Schizosaccharomyces pombe: one gene and its partner. The protein of the gene in region 1 interacts with the protein of each later gene in a biochemical or structural test. Each region holds a gene or a part of one and is shown on either strand. Other genes may lie near its edges.

Region 1 (3,711 bases):
TCCCATAAAGATAGTTGACTATCATGTTGAATTAACAAAAAATTATCCGAAATAAGCTCTATGTGTTCAATTTTCGATATGCTTTGGAAATGAAGAATTTTAATAAGCATATAAGATTTGGACTCATCATGAAGTGAGTATATGGATAGCCCTTCGAGGGAAATCGTATATATACTTGTAGAGTCTTTAGACATCAGAATGTGCGAAGGAGCCTGAACTTCCTTTAGAACCACAGCTCTCGTATTCACGAGACGTCTTTCAGAAACTGAAAAAGAATCTACATAATATTGTATAATTTTGTCGACATGTACACTATACAATAAATATACCATGGATGTGGATGAGGTGACATTAGCGCTAAAACTGGTAGACCCTGACTTTGGTACTGAAGAAGTTGTGTCGCTGTTCATCTCGATTTCCTTTGGATTATTATTAGTGCCACTTGCTTCGTTAGATGCTAATCGTACAGCATCAATAGGATTTGCTTGTGAAGGAACATACATTGATTGAAGCAATGTGGCTGATTCGTTAACGGAGGCACTCATGTGAACTTTGTCATCTTCGGGATCGAGAAACGCAATTTTTCCGTTTCGAAATACAATCACTAGTTGACCAGTTGACGAGATGAAATGAAGAGCAAATATTTGTTGGTTGGAAATATCACGATATACAACTTCGCTTTCCTCCTCGAGGTCGTTGAACTTCCAAAGAAGTATTTTCCATTCCCCATTACTTTTAAGAGAGGTGCAGGTCCAAATATAATGCCAATTTCCTTCTTTAATGTAGATGGGTGAGCAGGAAAACCGTGTCTTCTCAGGTAGAGGACATGAAGCGAATAAGCGTTCATCCTTCATATGATAAACTTCAATTCCCTGATTTTCCACTTGAACACATATATAATAAGGAGATTCAACTCCGTTATCCAAAGCAACCGTGCCAGCACTCTGAATTTCATGCTTTTTATTCGATTTATGAATATTCGAAATTTCGCTGAGAAACGATAGTTCACCAAAAGAAGCCATTTTTACTTTAAGTTTAAACACAATTTTCTGAAACTGTGAAAATTGGCAAAATAAGCGTTTCTGAGGTTCAAAAGTTTCACACAGCACTCGGTGGAGATGAAGAGAAGAAGTTACAAAAAAAAATAATTCCTACACAGCTTTGACCTCCACAAATACTAACGAAAATAGGAATTATTGATCAGTAAAATTAAATTAAAGTATTAGAAGCAATGGTTGTTCGACGCTTGTTTTCCACTGGAAAATTTGCGTTCTTACATTCGAGTGCGGTATATCTCGTTATGATACATAAAAACTTTTTGCTCTCAAGTGCTATAACAAAACAACTTTTATTATTTAGTTTTGTCAAATAAGAAAAACAGAATTTTTTTTGTAAACTACTCTTTGTACAACAATGCTACAAAAAATTCTCTTCTCGATTGGGTTTTTTTGCTTTGAGCTTTATTCATACTTGGACAACGTACCGATGTTTGATATCAATTGTGCCTTTATTCTGTGAACTTGAAACTCTAAATTTATTGTTTACCAATTTTTCTAATATAATAGGGATAATAAAACTTTTCTTTAATAAGTGAAAAAAACTGGGCAAGTCAAATTAGCATCGGCATACATGCTCTTGTTTACGTCCCATAATTTACAGATTTTATAGCTAATCCAAATTCAAAGTCCCAAATCACATCCAAAATCACTTTTCCAATAAGATTTAAGGGTCTTATTTTTTATCATTTTTTATGCTGATTTTTGATATTGTATTTAAATTTGCATATCCACTAACTTTTGGTAAATGAGTATGCTTTCTTTGTTATAAAAGTAGTGGGCAGGTCAGCATCAGAAGCATATATATTAACTACGCCCTTTACATTGCTATCCTAAGCAAAATTAATGGGAGATTCTGACGATTTTTATTGGAATTGGAACAATGAAGCAGTTTGCAATTGGATAGAACAGCTTGGTTTTCCCCATAAAGAAGCGTTTGAAGGTATGTATGCATAACAGAAGTTTAATTCAAAGAATTATTTGCTCGCCTCTCATTAATCCTTATTGAATGCTCTTTCTTTTATAGTCAATGGGGGATTGGGAACAATGAGTTTCTCCAAAGTTGGTTCAATTTCATGGCAATTTACTAAGAATTTCTAGACTACCATATTCTTGGAAAAGACATAGACCTGTTAAGTTCAAATGATCTTCGAGACATGGGAATTGAGAGTGTGGGCCATCGTATTGACATTTTATCAGCAATACAGTCAATGAAAAAGCAGCAGAAGGATAAACTGCAGCAAGAAAATAAGGATCAAGAACTGAAAAATATAGAAGAGTCTTACAAGAAGCTAGAGGAAAAAACCGAACATTTATCAGATGACAATGTCTCTTTAGAAAAACGTGTGGAATACTTGGAAACGGAAAACACTAAATTGGTAAAAACACTAAACTCTTTGAACTCGGAATTTCTTCAGTTACTAAGAAAAATTGCCATAAATGTTAAGGAAGGAAGACAGCTTACTACCGAAAATTCATCTGACACTAGTTCGATGACTCACCCTGTTCAGCCTTCACCATCTGTTCTTGGAAGTTTTGATTTAGAGGTTAATGATTCTTTGACAAACGCGGAGAAAAACAGAAAATTAAATGTGAACTTAACCTACAATGAAGTGTTATGCTCCATGTTGCAACGATACCGAATCGATCCAAACACTTGGATGAGCTATGATTTGCTTATAAACTACGATGATAAGGAGCATGCCATACCTATGGATGTAAAGCCACTTCAACTATTTCGAAACCTACAAAAGAGGGGAAAGTCGCCTTCTTTTGTTTTATCTCGACGCTCTTGTTAACTAAGCTTTTTAAAAGCCATCTATTTATGAATTGAATTTAATGAATAGTTTTCAATTTTTTTAATGACTCATTTGCAGATATTTAAGTTATTTTACTTACGCCTTGGTATGTTTATCAGTATTTAAAGATGGATTGATTTTTTTAGCCGTACCTCCTAATATTCTATCTAATATTCTATCTAATATGCTTAAAATATATATTTTTTTTTTTATTCATGGGGTATGCCCTAAGGTTTATTAATATGATATAAATGAATCTATGGAATGTATTAAGACAATGAAAATGAACCATGTAATATAATAACAGAAAAAATTAAACATTAAATTTTAACATGCTTCAACAGGAAATGAAATGACAAAGAAGGTTAACAGCCTAAAAAAAAAATTGAAGCGTGATTAGAAATTTTTAGAAAAAAATTGTGGTTTTTTAATGAATTTGAAACCAATGATATATGCAATATGTGAAGTTCGTAAATAAGGCGCAAAATTATGCCCCGAAACGTAGTTTACTCCGTCAATAAAATATTCATCATGTTGTACTACGCTTATTTTTGTAAGCTATGTATTAACAATTTCAGACAATGCAACATGCGTTGGGTTGCTTGGAGTACACGGTGGTATACCGAAATTTGGAAGGAGACAAGTAACTCATGTTAGACAAGCTTTGTAGAAAAACACGCATTTTTGGCTGAAACCAAATTAGTTCCTTTTCGCTTGATTCGGAAGATGAATAAAAATTTGGCTGGGGTTTTGATCCCGTATGCCTATTAACAAATTTAATTTCATCATTTGTTGGTGGAGTCAGTACTTTTGATAATTTTCTACGCTTAGAGAAATGTTCATTTTTTTTTTTCTTT
Region 2 (3,761 bases), on another chromosome or scaffold:
TGCCGCGTGAATGAAGGTATTCTAAGCCTTTAAGGGTTTGCTTAATAAAGTTCTTGACTAGCGTTTCCTCAAAGCTTCCATACATTGTAAGCAATCCGGCAACCGACCCCCCAGGAACATATTCCAAAAAAATGTTCAAGTGGTCCGAATTTAAGTTAGAACCGAGATATTGGACAATATGCTCATGAGACAACTCCTGTAGAAGAGCAATTTCACCCGCTAATGCATCTAAAAGTTTGGCATGGCGGTCTTTTGATTCAGAAACAGAATCTAAGATCACTTGCTTAACAGCCATCAACTCACCACTAGATGCATTCATACCGAGATAAACTTGTCCAAACGATCCTGAACCTATTAACGCACCACGTATCCATTTGATAGACTGATCATCAGTGTCCTCTTCAAGTGTATTTGTGTCCTCACTTGTAGTGGAAGTTGGAGAAATTGGGGATGGTTGCTCAATAAATGATGGGGATGAACCAGGTGAAAAGGAAAGTACTTGATGGTTGCCATGCGCGCTTTCTGAAAAAACATTATACTTCGACGATTTTTCATTTCCGTTGGACTGGTATAAAGGTTCCACACCAACCATGGTTATGGATTTTTGAAGCGATGGTGGTCTAGAAATACGCTGAGTAGAAGATACAGTAAGTGGAGGATCAAATCCCCTATCAATCCTAGGAAGTCGGTTAACATCTTCAGCAACAGAAATCCTCAGAGAGGAAAGAGGACAAACCAATTCGGAAGGGCGAGCCCGCCGAGAGCTTCTTGGCAAAATTTCTTGACCAAAATTACCAAGATTGTGCCCTTGAGACGTACGTATGCTAAGGTTTCTACGAAGAGAGTTTGATATTGTTTTTTCCAGTAGCTTTGGTTGATGATCGGGGAAAAAATCGGAAATTCTAGAATTAATAAGCTCGCTAGGAGGTCGCTGGTAGGATTCAAATGGTTTCGCATTATTTGAGCGGACACTTCGTTTCTGAGTGCTCGTGGGAAGAACAGAGGAAAGTTTAGGAGAAAGGGAGGACTGTGATGATAATGCTGCCGGTTGAGCCAATTCAATCTCCCAAGAACGGCGGAGGTCTTCAAACGATGGACAAGGCTTTTCTTTTGGCACAATAATTAACCTGTCGCGTTCCGGTGAAGATGAATTAAAACAAATTTGTTTAAATTCTTCTTCAGTAATCAGCTTAATTCGACTACTCTGTGAAACGCATACAATGAATTTTGAAGCATCTTCAAGGCTAAACTTTTTCAAAGCAATAGCGAGTGTTTTCTGGTAATCTCCTCGTGATTGAACTGCTCGAGTTTGCCCGTTACAGGCAATAAACCTCAGTATACATGGACGTGGAAACTCTCGTAAATAGTCTCTTTGTTTTAAAAATTGTTTGCCTTTGGCGGTGTTTTCAATGCCTAGGTCTTTCAGTAAAGGCAAGGTTAAATGATTTAGGTGTCGTCCTTCAATGTTATTTTGTGAAAATTGTTCGATATACTTCTCCAATCCGATACTTTTCAACCATTCTGCTACCTCCTTCGAGGTATAATATTCCATAAATGCAGGAAAGTGGTTGTACAACGTATAACTTCTAAGTTCAAAGTTGGTAGCATTTACGTTTAACCTGCCTCCCTTAGTCTCGTGCTCTTTGACGTAACAATATAACTATACACTTTATAACCGATATTAGTTTCACTAAATCTCATTACCAAAATGAAGCTGCCAAAAAATTCGTAAAGGCTGCTTGTTTATATAGGTATTGCAATTCTCACCCGGCACAGATTCAGATATCTATTAAATAACACTTACGTACATATACGAGTTCCACAAGGAGTCTAAATATCGACGAGAAATTGTAATCAGATATTAAAATCTAAAACTTTCGTATAAACCATGTGTAGCAAGTGAATAATAATCTTTCTCTTTATCTGCAATACAAATGTCGTTAACCACCGTTCAGATACTACTGGTTTAAGGTACGAACGTAAAGTACTGTTTTAACAATTTCAATGTTTCAATCGGTTTCAGAGGACGGCAAGAATCGCGCACTAAAATTAGCAACCCGCAAATGCGCATTCTGAAAGCGATTTTTGGTTTGTAACACAATCACGACGGATCGTACAGATCTTTCAAAAAAATCAAAATTATAAGTGCCAAAAATATATGTGTGGGACTTCAATTTAAATTGTTTGATGTGACAATGGTTCGAACATAAAACCAAGCAATGTTTACCAAAACAAATTTCGAGATACGGTCGGCAATTCAACCATAACAATAATTTACAAATAATAATAAACGTCGGAAGCAAAAAAAACGGGAATGGAAGTGACTAGGGTTTAAAAGTTTCAAAAGAATGCATTGCGCGTAATTCATCAATCAGCGAGTTTAAAATGCAATCGTGGAAAAGTTCTATAAATGTGGTTTACATACAAAGGAAGGAATGAAGCCAGTTCTGTCATGTACAATTTGACAAAGATGAAATAGAGCCATCGAACGCGATGATTTTACGAATAGAAATTCCTCATCCAAACAAGCCGTGCCACATATAGTAAAACAAGACTTGGAATAAGTGTGACGTGAACCAAAAACCATCATGAACATAATAAACACAGTCAAGTTGGGGTATGGAAGCTTTGACTTTCAGCAAACATGCAATAATAAACCCTGTCGGTAAGCTCAACCCAGTATAGTTTAGCAACATGATGATCAAAACAGCTGCCTTGTACAGTAACTTAGATTAAATAAAGTAACAGTAGCCGAAGCTACCATTATCCACCTCTTTTAACCACTGTCTACATAGGTTTTGCTTTTGTATTAAACAAGAAGGGAGCGCTTATCAACCATAAAGGATTTCTGCACAAGAGCTGATAAAGTTGCAAACATAACAGGTGAACAGATATGCTAATAATGAACTCGACTCAAAGCTTAGCTTCTTGGTAGCGTTTAAGCTTGCATACTACAAATCAACAGATATGTCAAAAGTTAGCAAAAGTCAAAACCTCCAACCCAACGTTAACCACCGAAAAAGAAATAAGTAACCAAATTCGTTCGATGTCAATGAAACATATATGTCTATCAAAAAAGAGATATAAATAAAAAATTTAATGAAATTCTTTGAAATAATGGCATAATGGCAATATGACCCAATACACACCATATATACTAACAAGAACTGGTTCAGCTCACTTCTCCAAATCCATTACGAAAGACCCAAAACACAAAAACAACTTCAAGAACTGCCATTCGAAACAGCATTATATTGCCAATATTATTTAACTGAGGGAGTATGTTGTATAGGTCGTTATTAATACCAAGAAGCATTTGACATCTTCAAAATATATGTATATATAGTAGAATCTTCAAATTATTAAAGTTACTCCTTCTCATTTGATCCAAAATAATCATCCATCTCCTTGTCGAGCTCTTCGGCGGATTTTTTAGGACGATTAGGAGTTCTACGGCGGCGTGTAGTCTTCCGCTTGGAAGATTTGGCGCCATTCTTGCTAGCAGTGGCGCTAGCGTTGCTGGCAGGACTTACACGTGCAGCCAAAGAATTCAATTGACGACTAGGATCAAGGATTATCTCAACCTTCATTTTTCTAGTGCCATCAACCAAACGACCCTCATACTGTTCATAAGCTCGAGTGGCATCACCAGGACGAGAAAAAATGATAGTTGCAATACCTTTCGAACGACCGTTGGGACCGTAAGCCAAGGAAACGCGTTTGCAAGGTCCTATGGATTTCACAAAAAGCTCCTTAACTTG

What was found. The genes of interacting proteins can lie anywhere in the genome.
Region 2: the proteins of ste4 (region 1) and byr2 form a complex in vitro, tested with the Schizosaccharomyces pombe proteins (3 studies listed by BioGRID).

The regions. Positions count from the first base shown.
Region 1 is NC_003424.3:1,294,701-1,298,411, reverse strand, and holds ste4 (MAPK cascade adaptor protein Ste4), read left to right. Parts: upstream 1-1,868; 5' UTR 1,869-1,901; coding exon 1,902-1,998; intron 1,999-2,156; coding exon 2,157-2,854; 3' UTR 2,855-3,096; downstream 3,097-3,711. Other genes in the region: protein Utp8, read right to left, coding at 1-1,022; SPOM_SPAC1565.03 (uncharacterized protein), read right to left, coding at 3,429-3,711. UniProt on the Schizosaccharomyces pombe protein: Essential for mating and meiosis.
Region 2 is NC_003423.3:1,740,745-1,744,505, forward strand, and holds the start of byr2 (MAP kinase kinase kinase Byr2), read right to left. Parts: upstream 1,601-3,761; 5' UTR 1,553-1,600; coding exon 1-1,552. Other genes in the region: RNA-binding protein Mlo3, read right to left, coding at 3,369-3,761. UniProt on the Schizosaccharomyces pombe protein: Serine/threonine protein kinase involved in conjugation and sporulation. It is thought that it phosphorylates the byr1 protein kinase which itself phosphorylate the spk1 kinase.